Arabidopsis thaliana: one gene and its partners. The protein of the gene in region 2 purifies or fractionates together with the protein of the main gene of each other region. This does not show direct contact. Each region holds a gene or a part of one and is shown on either strand. Other genes may lie near its edges.

Region 1 (3,930 bases), 1.1 Mb from region 2:
ATTCAAATATTTATCGATAATATTTAAAATTTGAATAGTAAATAGTGATCCACACACTTTTTCTAATATTTAATTTAGTAATTTTTGAATTAAATAAAATTTCAATCATACACATTCAATTTTACTATACATTTTAACTATCTCTTTCATCATAATAAACTGCTTTTTAATTTTATACACTCCAACTTATTGATGATATTTGAATTTTAAATTGTAACTCATATTTTTCAGTATTTAATTTAGTATTTCCTTAAACTAAATTTCAATCTTACAAATTCGATTTTACAATACAATTTAAATATCTTTTTTATCATAATACAATACAATTTAGTTCGATTGTATACAATTCAAATACAATCCAATTTTTCAATACAAATAAAATTTAATTCTATACACTTCATCTTATTGTTAGTTTTCCTTTTTAATTAAAAAAATTATAAGTTAAATTTTTTAGATATAGAACTATAAATTAGTATATGTAAATATGTTTTTTTTTTTTTAAAGAAACTTTTTTTTAACATATGTCAACATCTCAATGATAGACCTGACACGTGTCATGATCTCGTGAGTTAGTAACTCCGTACTTTATATAATAAGATATATATATATATATATATATATCTATGATGTTGTCATGTAACCAAGGCTGCCTCTCTGAGCAGTCACCCTCAAACATTTATATGAATCACAATCAAAATCATTTTTGTTCTTCTAGACAATCTTAAAGCTTCTCTCTCTCTCTTTAGATTCTTTGCACAATAAAGCTTTTCATGAGCTATTCAATTTCTCTTCTAATAAGCTCAATGAGTATCAATCTATTCTTGTCTTAGAAATGTCAACAATTACCATCAATTAACCCTAATTTATCTTCTAAAATTCCCTATTCAGGAAACCCTAATTTTGATAAAATCTAACAATAACCCTAATTAATCCCGATATACACAATTAAATTGTTAGATCTATATATTCAGAATTTGATTGGACCATGGCTTGACACAAATCTCCAATTTATGCACGTTTTCTCTCCGATTTGGTTCACCAAACTCGTCCATGTTGACCACCGTCGGTTGAGATGATGAGGACAGTGGATAAGAGACGAATTTCGTTGATATTCTCTTCCGATTTGATGAACATGAACGCGTGAGGCTGATGATCATCAGAGACCGTTCAATCGCCATCGCACCAAAGAAGAGAATAGAGATATCCAGAAATGAGAAAAACCACAGGCAACTGAAAAAAAAATATTGTTTTGTCAAAACACGCGTCCAATGAGAAATGGACACGTCATCGAACCTTAACACCAAAAAAAACTCTAAGCTTAGGTCGTTCGTAAGTTTATATCACATGTTTCATTTAAATTTTGTCTTATTTTGCTAAGGATTCTTGATAAGAAATTTTCAATCCCCAATGGACCTGCTCTAACATGACAATTTGTGTAGAATCGTTATGACGTGGTAATATATGCTAGGATTGAAGGATGACATATGATTGTTTTGGTTGAAATGAAAAGAATCGAGAGAAGATGTGATTGCAATTTGTCTTATGCCATGTAGCTTCCTCTTAAATATTTTTCATTTAATTGACATAAACACATGGAAAAACTTTAAAAACTTCTTGCAGCTAATCAATTTATAATATATATGTTTATTTGAATTAAATTAATTAAAAGAAAATTTCTAGAAAATAAAAATCAAAAATAAGTAAACAAAAGATTAGAAATAATTATACAGTATACAATGATATTGTCGTTCGTTAATCAAATAAAATATGAAAGTATGTTTTTATAACATGAATGATCAAAATAGACAATTGTTTTGTCTTTGTATATCAAACCCGAAACAAACTAATCTATTCTCTGGGCATGGATATTGTAAGGCCCAATTAAATTCGGCCCATCAAACGAAACCAACCCTAATAATCTGAAAGAGAGCTATATATAAATAATCTAGGGTTTAGTGTGCTCCTCCTTCCAAAGCCGCTGCGAAACTCGTCGATTTTCAAAACCGGAGCTCAGAGACTGATCTCGGAAAGTAAATCGCAGCCATGGCGGAAAAAGCTGTCACTATCAGGACCAGAAACTTCATGACCAACAGGCTTCTCGCCAGAAAGCAATTCGTGAGTTCCCATCTCTATGTTCCATTTTGCAATCTCACAGTGTTACGTCTTCGCTGTATCGAATGATAAAAACTATAGTTTAGGTAGAAACAATCTTATAAGAACAGATTCATTGATCATTTTGATGTATTGCTAGAGGAAATTTTGAATTTTGCAACTTTTAGGTTTGATGTTTAGTATTTGGATTCATTTCGATGTTGCATTTGGAGTATTAATCATCAGATTTTGAATCAATTAATGTAGGTTATTGATGTTCTTCATCCTGGAAGAGCCAATGTTTCAAAGGTATGTTCTTTACGTACATTGGCTTGTGTTGATTACAATCCAAGCTTGTGCAGTTGTGTATTGTTTCTTAGTGATGTTGTGTACTGGGTGGGGCTTTACTTGTTTGAAGGCTGAGCTTAAGGAGAAATTGGCGAGGATGTATGAGGTTAAGGACCCAAATGCTATCTTCTGTTTCAAGTTCAGAACTCACTTTGGAGGTGGTAAATCTTCTGGATATGGTTTGATCTATGATACTGTCGAGAACGCTAAGAAGTTTGAGCCTAAGTACAGACTTATCAGGGTAATTTCTCTTTACTTGTTTGATAGTTAAGTAAAACTTTTGGTTCTAGTTTTTAGTCTAGCTTACTCTTGGTGCTTTGATTTTCACTGCTTTGCGATGAAACAATGGTGTTGCAATCTCATACTGAAATGATTGTTGATGTGATTGACAGAATGGACTTGACACCAAGATTGAGAAATCAAGGAAACAGATCAAGGAGAGGAAGAACAGGGCGAAGAAGATCCGTGGTGTTAAGAAGGTAAGAGAGACCAACACTAACCAGAAATCTACATTTGCTATTGTTATGTTTGTGCCTGTTTTGTCTTAACGATATTTGCATTGTTTTGTGAGTGTAGACCAAGGCTGGTGATACCAAGAAGAAGTAAGACGTTTGAAGAGGACAAAAGCAGCAATATGGTTTTTGTTCTGCATCACTCCTTCTTTGAAGCCATGTTTGCTATTAGACATCTTCTAATTATTTCTCGATTTTGTGCTTCTTTTTGTCACACTTGCTCTATTTTGGTTTGGATCTTGTTTTAGAGAAACATGTGGTTAAGATTTTGTTTGAATACATTGATTTTAAACTTCATCCTCTTGCGTTTCGGAGATTGAGACTATTGTTCAACTTTTCAATTTTTGCTACCACATACCACAAGATTAAAAGTTGGATTCTACTTGAAATTCATTAGTTGTCATGAGAATAAAGAAAAAAAGACTACGTTCTGGTTTCACAGGGGAATTCTATTTTTGACTGCAATATTCTAAAGAACTCAACTTTCTGCATTTTCAAATGTATATCAATGAACCATTCAAAGGTTTATCATTTTCCACCAACGCAACATCGATGACGGATACAACAATCTAAATAAGCAAAATAGATGTTTCCTTGTCTCATGTTAAACCGAAAAACCATTGGAAAAATTTAGGGATTTTACAAGAAGGAAGTAAGGAACCCATTTGGGAGACTTAACATGTAAAATACTAGATATTGATTTATAAGAACTAGATATTGATTTACAAATACTAGATAGTGAATATGTTTATTGAAAAGTTATATAAACTTTTTTATAAGAATTAGATATTTCTACCAAAATAATATTAAAAGAATAGAAAAAGTATAAGAGAGGAGAAAAACGATGAGAAGTTCATTATGTCATGTGTTATATATCAATTAGTTTATTTTTTCATGAATTAAAAATTAAATCAAAAACTAAATTACATTAAAATATTATTTTGGAGAGACTTTCACAGTCTCTAATCAATGGAGATGG
Region 2 (4,775 bases):
AAAGCAGAAGATGGAGTTGGACACGAAGCGACGAGTTTCATGATCAAAGAATCATCAGACTGGTTTGACAAATTCCTTAAACAAGAAGATATGACAACTTGACAGATTGTAATATTGTGAACTAATAAAGAAGAATCATCTTCTTCTCGTTAATAATGTATTCACTCTCGCAAATCAATATCATTACAAATTTCAAAAAAAAAAACAAAAAAAAAGCAAGAGGATCATCATCATCATCATCCTTTCTTAGGCATAGCGGCGAGGCGTGTATACATTTGTGCCATTGAATTGAACCCTCTCACATCACCAGATCTTAGAAGATTCCCTTTTTTCCATAGCAACCACAACAAAAGCGTCAGTAGAAAAAAAAAACAGTTGCTTACTATAAAAACTAGGCATGGGCATAATAATCAAACTGAAAGAACCGAATCCGAACTGAAGCAACCCGAATCCGACCCGAAATGGTAAACTACTCAAATAGATCCTAAATTCTAGAACCAAAGTAATTAGAACTGAACCCGAACCGAACCAAAATATTTTGCGTATCCGAAATATGATTATATATCCAAAGATATTAGTTATTTTTAGTTTGAATAATCAAAAATACCCAAATAAGGAAAAATATATAAAAACACCAAAATATCCGGAAAAAAAGACAAAAAATATCTGAAATATTCGAAATAAAATATTCTAATGGATCCTAAACTTCAGAACCGAACCCGAACCTGAACCGAACTGAAACTGTTTCGGTTCCTATATGGATCCTAAAATCGAGAACAGAAAGAATCGGAACCGAACTAGAACCGAACGGGAACCAAACCGAATACCCGAACGCCCATGGTTACATTTTTGAAAACACTAAACTAGCATTTTGTACCTGAGTCGCAGTTAAGAGGACTGTCCGGCTCAGGATGAGCCATCAATGCTATGATAGCTCTACACACAGACTGAAGCGTCCAAGCAGGACTCCAAGCATTCTTCAAAATGTCGAGACATATTTCTCCTGTCTACAAAATTCCCAAGTACTAACTAAAAAACCTGCGTTTCCTTTTATCACAGGAGAAGGTTGTTATAAAAAGAGATGCAAACCTTGAAATGAACATTAGGATGGAATATCTTGGTCAAGAATCGAACTTGAGGAGGTTGCAAAGGATAAGGTTCAGGAACAGAAAAAGCAAGCTGAAAAACACCGCCTTCGTAAGGAGTCTCCGAAGGTCCTTTGATAAGAGCGGTCCATTTGAATATGTTGGTATCGTCACAGATCAATTGAATATCAGGATCTGCTACTTTCTCTCGCTGTACCTCTTTGTATTCTTTAAACAGTCGCGCTCTTGATGCCTATTACATCAATCAAATCAAATCAAATCATAAACATACACAGAGAATTTGCAACAAAACAAAAAAAAAATTAAGCAATTTACCTGCATCTCTAATTTCCCAAAGAGAACGAATTGTCAACTGCAAAAAGATCAATCTAAAATCAAGAAGAAATAAACCCTAATTTCTTGTAATTCACAGACGCAATTATCAGATCCCGTAACAATCTCAATGATTAGGTGAAAAGTGTTTTATACAAGAACAGTGATAATTAGGGTTAAGCAATGACTCTGCTTTAAGATCTAGAAAGAAAGACATAGGAGGGATGCGAAACTATAATTGAACATAAAGAGGACGAATCAACGAAGCTTTACCTGCAAATATGAGAGCGAGAGAGAGAGAGAGAGAGAGAGAGAGAGAGAATAGCGATGATTATGTGAAGTTTTTTTTTTCCGAACCATAGAAAGTTTTATTAAAATGACTTTATAAAAAAACATAACCGGATGATAGAACCGGTGGTAATAAGGAAACGAAACCGGATGATAGAACCGGTGGTAATAAGGAAACCCTAGGCGGTGGTAGTGAGTTAAGAGCTAACATTGTTGCGGCCGCTAAGAATTGATCCGGCGAGAATGGCGAGCAGCAATGAGTATGAGGAAGGTCCGGGGGAGAGGGAGAGTGGGTACGACCCAAATATGGTGCCGGATTCGGTGAAGTCGTTCGTGTCACACATGTACAGACACATAAGGGATAAGAACGTGTACGAGATCCACCAGATGTGTGAGACATCGTTCCAGAGCATATCGGAGCGTCTGTTCAAGGACACGCCGTGGCCAAGTGTGGAAGCGATTGCTCCTTACGTAGACAACGACCATGTGTTCTGTCTTCTGTACCGTGAGATGTGGTTTCGACATTTGTATGCGAGGTTGTCTCCGACGTTGAAGCAGAGGATTGATTCTTATGACAACTATTGCAGCCTCTTTCAGGTCTGTTGTGGAATTCTTCTACTTCTTCTTCCTTGTTAGATAGAGATGTTGTTGATTTTGATTTCTTTTGTGTATGTATTGGCTGGGAATAAATACAAGTAAGTAGACCTTCTTCCGTTTGTTCTTTCTAGGTTGTGTTGCACGGCGTAGTGAATATGCAGTTGCCGAACCAGTGGTTGTGGGATATGGTGGATGAGTTTGTCTACCAGTTCCAAAGTTTCTGTCAATTCAGAGCAAAGCTCAAGAACAAAACAGAGGAGGAGATTGCATTGCTCAGACAGCACGATAAGGCCTGGAATGTCTATGGCGTGCTCAACTTCTTGCAAGCACTTGTGGAGAAGTCTTGTATCATCCAGATCCTTGAGCATGACAAGGATGGCCTTGAGTTCACTGAGACTGATGGCTACGATTTCAGCGGTGGCAGCAACGTCTTGAAGGTCCTCGGTTACTTCAGCATGGTCGGTCTCTTGCGTGTTCACTGCCTCCTCGGTGACTACCACACTGCTCTCAAATGGTTGCAGCCCATTGACATCACTCAGCCAGGTGTTTACACCAGTGTCATTGGTTGCCATATCGCTACTATCTACCACTATGGATTTGCCACCCTTATGTTGCGGAGGTATGTCGATGCTGTTCGTGAGTTCAACAAGATTCTCCTCTACATTTTCAAGACTAAGCAGTACCATCAAAAGTCACCTCAGTACGAGCAATTACTCAAGAAGAATGAGCAGATGTACGCTTTGCTTGCTCTCTCCCTCTCCCTCTGCCCTCAAACTAAACTCGTTGACGAGTCTGTCAACTCTCAGCTGCGAGACAAGTATGGTGAAAAGATGATGAGGATGCTGAGGTCTGACGACGAGGCCTTTGGTATTTATGATGAGCTCTTCTCTTACGCATGCCCCAAGTTTATCACCCCTTCCGCACCACCAACTTTCGAGGAACCTCTTGTCAATTACAATCAGGATGCATACAGGCTTCAGCTGAAGATGTTCCTTTACGAGGTAAAGCAGCAGCAGCTCTTGTCGGGAGTGCGGACTTTCCTGAAAGTCTACTCCTCCATTTCTCTTGCTAAGCTCGCAAACTACATGGAAGTTGATGAGCCCACTCTAAGGTCAGGGACTAACTATGGGCATTCTTATAACTATTATTACCAAATCTACTTCTCTCTTTTTCTTTGACATGTACGGGGTTTTAATTTGCAGGACCATATTGTTAACATACAAGCACAAGACCCATTCAGTTGATTCCGATGGTAGGATCATCTCCAATGCAGACATTGATTTCTTCATCAACAACGTATGTTCTTTCTTCTCTCTCTGTCTTTCTGATATCTATACTCTGGTGCTTTTACAACGTTTGTAACAACTCTAAACCTGGTGACACTGCAGGACATGATCTACGTTGTCGAATCAAAACCCGCAAAACGTTATGGTGATTTCTTCTTGCGGCAGATTGCCAAGGTATGTTGTATAAACTGAAACTAAGACTAGTGCACATGAACTCTTGTTTTGATCTTTGGCTCTTCTTTTTTTTCCTCCATTGCGCAGCTTGAAGGTGTGATCAACGACATGGATCGTGTCAAGCTGGAATGACGACTTTTCTGTGTTACACCTAATTATCAATGCCCAATCTGATATGATGCTTTCTCTTATAAACCATAAGTTTACCTGGAGCCAAACACTTTTTGAGTAACTGTCTTCAAATTTCAACCATAAATCATTTTTGTTTTGAATTATTGCCATTTTTTTTTTTCATATTGAGTATGGCAGTTCAGTTTTTGATCGAGTTCCTTTCGAACTATTTGTCCTGTTTCTATATGCCAACGACGAGTTTAGTCTTCAGTAGTACAACTTTTTCCGTTTAAGATGTGCAAGCTTTCTTGTTCTTCTGTTAGAAAATTATATGATTGTCTCAATCTCATCAACAATAGTGAAATTGTAGTGTCATCGAATCATTTATAATTGTTTCATCGCTAATTCATTAAAGTCACTTTCTTCTATAACAAACAAACAGGTGAACAAAAAACCAAAAGAGAACAAATGACGTAAAGTCTTTTACCACAAATTATTTGTTTTATGATGAATCCAAAAAATTGTGTTTTGCTGTTCTGAACGGTTGTATTTTATTATCACAACATTTAGTTAAAAATGTTGACGATTATTTATGTGTTCATGTCTTTTCATCGTAACTTTCCGCTAACATTGCCGGTTATTTTTTTTTTTAGTACATTTTTATCGCAACTTTTCGTTTGTATCAGTCATTTTAATATTAACAGTTATTTTTTGGTGGGGATAACTACTTTTTTCGTTTGTGTCTTTTTATCATAACTTTCTATTTATATAGACGGTTATTTTTTTCTTTATTGTCTTTTTATCGTTACTTTTTATTTGTGTTTTCTCATCGTAACTTTCTGTTAATATCGATGGTTATTTTTCGTTTGTCTTTTTATCGTAACTTCGTAAAACAATTGAC
Region 3 (4,074 bases), on a different chromosome or scaffold from region 2:
TGCTGTAAGCCCTATATATTATATTACAAGTTATAAGTTATTGTCCAGGGGCGGATCTACTATCAGAGGAGGGTGGGCACGTGCCCCATGCTAAATTTTGAAAAAACATAATTGATCATTATACATTTAGTTACCATAATTCATTTGGTAATAAGAATTCATTTAGTGCCCCATACAATATTAAAATGTTGAGATCGATTCCCTTCTGTAGTTTTTTGTTTTGCTTTTTTCTTTAATTTTTTTTTTTTGTTTGTTGCTACATCCGATACATCTTTTTGTTTAGTTGTTTCTTACATTTTGTTGTTTCTTTTAAATAGTTGCATTTTTTTTGTTTTACTTTTCTTCTTAATTTTTCTAAGTAACTGTAAAACTTTGCTTTTTTTCTTTAATTAATCTTTCGTATTCCAATTTAACTTTTGATAAACTTTTAAGATATGTTTCTATATTGTAAAATTAGTAACTACACTTCAATTATATATTTTGTGTAAACTAGTAAATTAGTAAAAATACAATTTTTGTTTGCAGTTTATTTAATATTTATGGTTGAAATTTGTGAAATATATATATATATATATATGTAAATTATATATATATATTAGCATTATTTAATTAATAAAGTAAAATGATATATTTTTAATATCTAATATATGTAATTTAGTATATTTAAAAACCAATAGCTATAATACTTTTAAAACAAATTTTTAATATCTAATATATATAATATATACCCTGTACAAATTCAAACTTGAAAATTTATGTTATACGCGTCAAGAAAATTCAATGGAACTAAAACGAATAAAAAAGATAATGAAAAATGGCAGTAGGGACATACGAAGAATTGAATTAGGTTGACCCATTAAAAGAAGATAACAATAATTGATCTTAATAGTAGATAATAGGCTAAGAAAGCAAAATGGTAAAATGGTCGTTAATTGATGACATGCATGTGGGTATTGAATGTACAGATCAACGTACTTCTATTCGTACCCAACTCCAACACACACTTGTTCAGTGCCAACCATTCTTCTCATATCTTCCCTCCATTCATTTTCTTGTCGGTCCTTATAATCTTTCCCTCAAGATTTTCCTTGTTACTTTATAAATATATTATTTTGTGTCTATCCATTATTATGAATATAATGCAAGAGGGTCTCATCACTACCAGCAACTAATAATCAACGAATAGATGGTGTTATTAAATTTTGTCCTCATATATATATTTGGCGATCTTAAAATTTATACATGTTCCAGCGAATGGTCGAAATCTGATCAGTACAACCTTCAAATGATCTTTTGCGGTGGAAGCCAACTCATTTTAACACACTCGTGGCTTAACAAGATCAAAACATTATATTCTGTTTTATAATAGTTTCTTTTGAGCTTTAATAATTACTCTTCTTTCCCAAAAGTTTCATAATATTTCTTTGCAATAACTCCGGCAAACAATTCTTATTTGTTAAATAGTAAAAGTAACACGTTGACAAGACAAAAAATGATTATTCCCTACATTGTAAGTGTAAAACACCAAAGCACAACGAATAAAATAAAATAAAAGTTTCTTAGCCGTTTGTGTTTTTCTTTTCCCAAAAGTTTATATTAAGTGTCAAAGTACAAGTTAATTAGTTCTAATCAGCTGAACACAACTATACATATACACATTAAACTGTCATTTAGTCTTAAGTGTTTGACATTGGTTAATTCTAACTCAAAATTGCTGAATTCGTAGCATTAATGAACCCCAGTTTTGTGTTATGTACAGAAAATATTGACTCGTGGCGTGGGGGAAACAAAGACTTTAACCAATGTCCAATGACAATTGTTTGTGACACTAGGCTATAAATATTTTAGGCCCAGTGGGCTTCGTTTTATTTTCCCATGTAAATGTTTATTAATCAAACCTAGAAAACCAAACGGCTAGGATTAAGTAAGCCCAAATTAAAAGTTGAGGCCCATACAAAGAGAACACAAAAGAAACCCTAAGGAACTTGTAACTATATAAAAGCTCCGACTTCGATTCGGCGTCTCTTTCCTTCACCTGAGCGGACGAAAACACTCAAGCTTGCAGAGATCTTTCACTTTAATCCTTGAGAAGTAGCAAAAATGGCTGAAAAGGCGGTCACCATCCGAACCAGGAAATTCATGACCAACAGACTTCTCTCCAGGAAGCAGTTCGTGAGTTCCATTATTTTTTTTCTCTTCTCTATCTGCATATCATTTTTGTTCTTCTGGGTTTTGTTTTAATGGGAATCTAGTTATAATTTGATATGAACCCAATCTCGAGAGAATGCATTCGTTGTCTCGTCAAATTTTTATAATTGGGGTTTGATGTTTTAGGTCAGGCTTTCAGATTTACGACCTAATGTTAAAGCATAGATAGTGTTTAGATCATATAGTATTGATCTGGCGCAATTTAGTTCCGTTTGAGATTTTGGAATGAAATTCTAAGTTATGGTGGATTGTTGAAAATATAGGTTATTGATGTTCTTCACCCTGGAAGAGCCAATGTTTCAAAGGTTTGTTCTTTACTCACTTTGTTACTTCATCTATTTCGAGTTCTGATAGACTATGAGAGGTTCTAACGGGAGAGTTGGTTTTATTTTTGCAAGGCTGAGCTGAAGGAGAAGCTAGCAAGGATGTACGAGGTCAAGGATCCAAATGCAATCTTCGTATTCAAATTCAGAACCCACTTTGGAGGTGGTAAATCATCCGGGTTTGGTTTGATCTATGATACTGTTGAGAGCGCTAAGAAGTTTGAACCCAAATACAGACTTATCAGGGTAAATGCTTTTTCCACTCTTGTTTCCATTGTTATATATTGCTACTCACATTGACCCGTCTTAAATCATTACTCTTGCTCATTACTGTTTGTCTGAAAATTATAAGCTATGTGATAAGTTTCGGACTTTATATCGTATTGCACTTGGTGTTCTCTGCATCTTTATACTTAAACATGCTTTGTCTATGTGGTTGGCAGAATGGACTTGACACTAAGATTGAGAAGTCAAGGAAACAAATTAAGGAAAGGAAGAACAGGGCGAAGAAAATCCGTGGTGTTAAGAAGGTATGTATACTGGTTTTCCCTCTTGCTATCTTCTGTTTTTGATTGTGACTGTAGCTTTAAGAATCTGTTTTGATCAATGTTTGCAGACAAAGGCTGGTGATGCCAAGAAGAAGTGAGATCCTGAAGAGAGAATCTTTATCTTGTGGGTTCTTGTTCTCCATAATCAATCACCTTTTATGTTATTTGTCCGCTGTTAGATCGTTTCTCCAACTAGACATGTTTACTGAAATCTGAGATTTTCGTTTATTTTTGTTTTGGTCAGTTTATGTTTTGAGTTTAGAGAAACATATGATCCAAGGTTTTTGTTCAATACAACTATTTAATCTCTCTCTCGTCTCTTTCCACCATTCCCATGCGCAGCAGATATAAGCATTTTCTTGTTCCTTAGGTGATTTAATTCTTGATCGGTTACTCGTGCGGCTGTGTTTGATTGTAAACGTGAGTCTCTCTGGCTATTATCGATGTTATTTACCCACATATAATGAAAATTTACTTAGATCATAATTATGAAATCTCGCAAAGTTTCTAATTTATTATATCACTTTTGCTCCTTACTATTTTAATGGAAAAACTGTGATAATTACATGTCAATCACTGAATTTGAACAGTAATTATAATTTTCTATACCGCACAACATATGCTTATTTTGGTTTTGGGTACTGTCTTATTAGTTACATACGGTTTAGGTTGGCTTGTTTGTTTGTTTTGTCCTAGCTAATCACGTTAATGAAAACGCTCTACCAAATAACCGCGTTTAGAAAACGCTATTAGTTACCGAGTGTGGTTGGGACCGAGTGAGGACGTCACGGCTCCAACCAATCCGCAAATAAGGAAGCGCGTGTGTGTAAGTAGTGGGTGACCACTTTGCCTAGTCTTAAACGTTAAGTCTGGAAATACCAAAACTACCCCTGGTTTGGTCGAAGATTCTCACGCCCCTACCACCCAACCCAATCACAATCCTCGTGAACGAACACACCACCTTCTCTCCAATCTGGATCTGGTTCCTCTTCTTC
Region 4 (5,171 bases), on a different chromosome or scaffold from region 2:
GGTTTAAGAAGTTTCAGGAGAAAGCTAAACGTGATCCTGATTTCCTCAAAAGCTTTGCTTTGTAAGGTTAGCGTTTTTGTAACATTTGATCTTGTGGTTCTATGTGATGAATTGAACAAGAGATTGTAGTTTTACTTTGTTTGTCAATGTTTATTAACTAGTTGATCATACTCTGCTTTTAAGCAATTTAAAGTGTTGAACTTTATATCTTGTTGGTTTGAGGTAGATGAAAAGGTGAAGATTTAATCTGTCTTGTGTTGAGGAATGAATTTTGATTCTTAGTTTTTGATTAGCTCACTTTGGTATACTGTGTGGTTGAATCCATTTGATCTTGGGTTATATATGATGAATTGGAGGAGAGATTGTAGTTTTACTTAGTTTGCTAGTGAGATAATATGAGGGTTATGAATATTTTGGTTTCAGTGTTCTTCTTGCTTACATATGAATCACAGTTTTAGTAGGTGGAATGGTGGATACTGTTTCGTATCTATTGTTCATAAGTTTATACTCTGCTGTTAGAAATTTAAAGTGATGAACTTTCTCTTGTTGTTTTGAGGATTGAGGTAGATGAAAGGGTTAAGATTAAATCTGTTCATGTTTTTATGATGAATCTAAGACAACATTTTAGTTTACTTAGTTTGCCAATGAGAAAATGTGAGAGATATGCATAATTGCTTTCCATGTTCATATTTTTTTCTTCGGTTAATTTAGTGCAATTCAACAGAGGAAGGTTTGACATTTTTTGGTCTAGTAATATATGATTCAGTATTTGGTCAGAGGATAGTTTAACAGTTTCAGTGTTCTAACTCACATTATAAATCATAGTTTTGGTAAGTGGATGCTGTTTCAGATTCTGGTCATGTTCATAGGCTCAATCAACCTTTGATCTTAGCAATATAAAGTGTTGAGCTTTATATCTTGTTGAATCGAGGTAGATGAAAAGTGAAGATTTAATCCATCTTGTGTTGAGGAATGAATCTTGATTCCTAGTTTTTGAGAAGCTTCAGTTTCTTACAGTGTGTACTGTGTGGTTTTACCCGTTTGATCTTAGGTTCTATATGATAAATGGAAGAAGAGATTGTAGTTTATTATAATTTAATCTTATGTTCTATATTTGTTTTCAACGGTTAATTCAATATTTTGTGAGAACTATATGAGTAGTTGCAAAATATGAATCACATATACATTGAGTGGATACTGTTTCAGATTTGGTCATGGTCATAAGCTCAAATGTAGCTCTTAAGTAATTTAAAGTGATGAACTTTATTTTTGTTGCTTAGAGGTGGATGAAAGGTGATGATTTAACTCAGCTTGTGTGTGAGGAATGAATCTTGAATCTTGAATCTTGATTCTTGTCCACTATATCACAGTAGATCGTTAATACATTGATCTAATCGATTGAAGTTGTTGTTTGATATGGTTCTAGATTGGCTTACCAACGGCTTCAATATTCAATGGACCTAAACAATTTGTAGAGTCAAGAAGCTTACAAATATTCGGGATAATCTGACTTGGATGGACAACTCTAGTTGTCTGATACATACGATGAATCAAAATCAAAGCCTTTAACTTAAACTTCAATCTCGAATACATAAGTATTTTCTACAATCGATTGCACACATGTGAGAATACCCTTCAACCCTCATTTGCAAAAAGTACTTAATACTTGGTCAGCAAATTCAAATCATTGTGCAAAAACTCCAAAAAAAAATGATTAAAAACGGAATAAAAAAATGGAGAGTGTAAGATGGAAAAAGTTACATGTTGGGGCCACGGTGATCGGTTCGACCGTATCAGTCTAACCGAAATTGACCAAACAACTTTGGTCTATACTTTGATCGGTTCGACATGTTGGGGCCACGGTGGAAAGGCTTTATAAAAAGGCATAAAATCTAACGAAAAACAAAAGGAAACACACAAAAGCCCTAAATCTCTTTTTAACCTCTGAAGCAAAAACCACCACATCGGAGATTTCTAATCCAACGAAAACGCTTCAATTTTCTTGCGATTTCTCTTCCTCTGCGAAAAACCCTTTTGGATTCAGACTTTCCTCGGTATGTTTTCTTATCAAAGGGTTTTCCTTTCTCAGTTAAATTCGCTTCTAGATCTTAATTTTCGATTGATTCTCTGGTGGGTTTCTATAGAATTGCTCCAAATTATGATTTTGATTTGATTTGATTTCTTAATGTTGGGTTCTCGAATTCATGGTTAATGATTCAAACTTTATCATCAAAACTTCTCTGTGTGTAGTGTAGATTACTATGACCAATTCGTTACTTTTTCTCTGCTCTTTGTTTGCATGATGATGTTCAAGTTGAATCCTTTTTTTATTGAAACAAGGACTTCTTAAGGTTTTAACCATTTTGATTGATTTCGATTGAGGAATTCATATCGATGTTGCAAATCCATAGGATTGGATTACCAAAATCAGAAGGAAATTATTAGTTATGTGTTTAAGATTCTTGTGTTTTGGGGACTGTTTTTGTTTGGTATCTCTCTAAGAGTTCATGGAACTTGTGTTCAGGTTTAGATAGCTGACATGCCTGTAATAGTTTTAATTGATATAAGATATCTTGTCTTTTGTAAGCATTAGATTTAGCTGTTTTTCCTGGGTGTGAAATATTAGGCCTATGTGTTTTTGTTAGCTGTGAAACCTTGATTTGTAAAGTAATAGTATCAGTATTCTCTGTCTATGATGTGAAGTTAGCAAGCTTACTACAAGTAGTTTAAGCATATTTACACATGGGGATCAGTGTATTTGATTATGTGGATTGAATGATTGATCAGTAATGTAGTTTGATCAAATAAGCGTGTTTCTGATGCTTACGCGTATGTTTGGCAGGTTTACCAGTTGGACTCAGATAGAAGCTTATATCTGTACCTGATAATTTGCAGCAAATATGGATGACTGGGGTAAGACTATGCTTTAAGTGTCCTCTCTTATATTCTCTATTTGTATCTAATTATAGTCTTCTTATTTATTTATAGTATTTGATTGGATATGCAAGCAATTTTGGATTATTTGCTAATCTGATGGGTTTCATATTTGATATTTCAAAATCGTATCACTAGCATGTGAGTAGTCTTATAATTTTTATTTTCTGATTCCAGAGGACGAGAAAATTGCACCACTTCCAGCAAAAGTTGAGCTTAAAAGTAACTGGGATGATGAAGATGTGGATGAGAATGAAATTAAGGATTCATGGGAGGATGATGATGATGAACCTGCTCAGGTATAGCTTAGTTTTTACTCTCTGTAATTCTTTCCCTATTGGCTAGTGGCTACTACGTATAATTTGGTTTGAGATTCCAACGGGAATATTTATGTTTTGTCTGCTTTGCCTTGTTGTTTTTCTGTAGCCGCCTGTTATAAATCCTGCTCCGGAGAAGGCTCCTAAGAAAGCAGCCCCCAAAACTGTTGAAAAGAAGGGTAAAGCAGTCGAAGTTCCAAAGGAAGCACCAAAAGAAAAACCTCTAGATCCTATAGCGGAGAAACTTCGCCAGCAGAGGTACAGTTTGTAAATAATATCTTTCCCACACATAATAATTCACTTTAATCTTTTGTACTTTGTGTATGGAAGAAGGCTGTGAAGGTCTATGTGACCTTATATGTTATATTCTTTCTATCACAGGCTTGTTGAGGAAGCCGACTACCGGGCAACTGCTGAGCTCTTTGGAGTGAAGGATGATGACAAAAACCTTGATATGTTTATCCCCAAGTCTGAAAGCGATTTTTTGGAATATGCTGAAATGATTTCTCATAGGATTAAACCATATGAGGTATGTTGTATTCTGCCTTATATACCTTTATTCTCATTGGCTAGTATTGAAGCTCATGATGTGTGAAAATATAGTTTGGTTTCTGTTGCAGAAAAGTTATCACTATATAGCGCTGCTCAAAACAATCATGAGACTTTCATTGACCAACATGAAAGCAGCTGATGTTAAAGATGTTGCTTCGTCCATTACAACGATAGCAAATGAAAAACTAAAGGCAGAGAAAGAAGCTGCTGCGGGAAAAAAGAAAGGTATTATTCTGAATGTGTTACTCACAATCACTTCATCTTTGGTTTATAGTTTTATGAATGTGTTATTCTGAATCCGTTTTTCATGACCATTGGCATTGCTTGATCAGGTGGAAAGAAGAAACAACTTATTGTAGATAAGGCCAATGACGATCTAGTGGCTGGTCCTTATGATGCCATGGATGACTTCGACTTCATGTAGATTAAAAGAGCTTTTTGAGCAAATGCAAATTGGATTTGTCCAGCGTCTATTTTATCATTTATCTATCACTCAAAAGAAACACATTTTTCTTAATTTTGGTTTGAATAGAGCAAGAAGAGCCAAATTTCTGGTTGCGGAAATATATAGTTGGAACATGGGAAGCTTTTGTTTTGGTTTGGTCTGGGAATTCTCTAGAGTCATGTTTTTGGTTCTATTTGTTGGTTGAAAAAGCTATACTTAAAGTGTCCGTATAAATTTATTATTGACATTGATCTGATTAAATCTCTTTGGGGGTTGAATTTCTTATAGACATGAGTGCGTTTCATGTTGTCCAATCTTTAAATACTGCCTCTTGAGTAAGAGAGAAAATGTTGATTCGTTACAATTCGCTAATGTTAGTAGTAAACCTTGAAACACGCTAATATCATCATGACTTTACATTAGCTAATAACATAAAGATGTGAATGGGAATGACATAAAGAATTCATGGGAGGATGATGATGAGTTTTTAACTAAGGAACTCTAATTCCTTACTAGTTAATTTCCAACAACAACACAGTGACTGTATTGTTTAATCTTCTTAATTGGTGGTTGAGTTGCTTCTTCTTCTTCTTCGGACTCTGTGTTGTTTCCTCCGGAAGACATTGTGTCAACAACTTCAGCCTCTTCCACATTCTCTTTTAGGAGAAAGATTAGTGGGATTGATTAAAGAAAGTAATCATATGAATTGATTGATATAATTCTCTGTAATGTAGACTCTTAAATATGTTACAATATCTACTCTCTAAGATATTCTTTTTATAAGAATCTTTTAAAACTTCAAGAAGATTCATTTAATGATTTCCAGTAATGGTGAAGAAAAATATCCAACTAAAAACAAAAAAAAGCAGAAAAATATCCTATCCTATCATTATCCTAATTTTAGAAAAAAATAAATAAAAAAA

Evidence for each region.
Region 1: the proteins of AT5G25757 (region 2) and AT5G28060 fractionate together in Arabidopsis thaliana (co-fractionation; one large-scale study listed by BioGRID). This does not show direct contact.
Region 3: the proteins of AT5G25757 (region 2) and AT3G04920 fractionate together in Arabidopsis thaliana (co-fractionation; one large-scale study listed by BioGRID). This does not show direct contact.
Region 4: the proteins of AT5G25757 (region 2) and AT1G66070 fractionate together in Arabidopsis thaliana (co-fractionation; one large-scale study listed by BioGRID). This does not show direct contact.

What each region holds. Positions count from the first base shown.
Region 1 is NC_003076.8:10,068,906-10,072,835, reverse strand, and holds AT5G28060 (Ribosomal protein S24e family protein), read left to right. Parts: upstream 1-1,936; 5' UTR 1,937-2,043; coding exon 2,044-2,115; intron 2,116-2,358; coding exon 2,359-2,400; intron 2,401-2,509; coding exon 2,510-2,680; intron 2,681-2,831; coding exon 2,832-2,918; intron 2,919-3,015; coding exon 3,016-3,045; 3' UTR 3,046-3,396; downstream 3,397-3,930.
Region 2 is NC_003076.8:8,964,635-8,969,409, reverse strand, and holds AT5G25757 (RNA polymerase I-associated factor PAF67), read left to right. Parts: upstream 1-1,769; 5' UTR 1,770-1,949; coding exon 1,950-2,303; intron 2,304-2,434; coding exon 2,435-3,414; intron 3,415-3,505; coding exon 3,506-3,599; intron 3,600-3,691; coding exon 3,692-3,763; intron 3,764-3,850; coding exon 3,851-3,895; 3' UTR 3,896-4,265; downstream 4,266-4,775. Other genes in the region: AT5G25770 (alpha/beta-Hydrolases superfamily protein), read left to right, coding at 1-102; PEX4 (peroxin4), read right to left, coding at 237-325, 878-1,007, 1,090-1,338, 1,422-1,427.
Region 3 is NC_003074.8:1,358,889-1,362,962, forward strand, and holds AT3G04920 (Ribosomal protein S24e family protein), read left to right. Parts: upstream 1-1,948; 5' UTR 1,949-2,100; coding exon 2,101-2,172; intron 2,173-2,471; coding exon 2,472-2,513; intron 2,514-2,606; coding exon 2,607-2,777; coding exon of another isoform or gene 2,778-2,831; exon of another isoform or gene 2,832-2,974; coding exon 2,975-3,061; intron 3,062-3,147; coding exon 3,148-3,177; 3' UTR 3,178-3,561; downstream 3,562-4,074.
Region 4 is NC_003070.9:24,595,250-24,600,420, reverse strand, and holds AT1G66070 (Translation initiation factor eIF3 subunit), read left to right. Parts: upstream 1-1,789; 5' UTR 1,790-2,054; intron 2,055-2,842; 5' UTR 2,843-2,900; coding exon 2,901-2,913; intron 2,914-3,111; coding exon 3,112-3,233; intron 3,234-3,360; coding exon 3,361-3,509; intron 3,510-3,632; coding exon 3,633-3,780; intron 3,781-3,871; coding exon 3,872-4,028; intron 4,029-4,135; coding exon 4,136-4,227; 3' UTR 4,228-4,612; downstream 4,613-5,171. Other genes in the region: AT1G66080 (hikeshi-like protein), read left to right, coding at 1-65.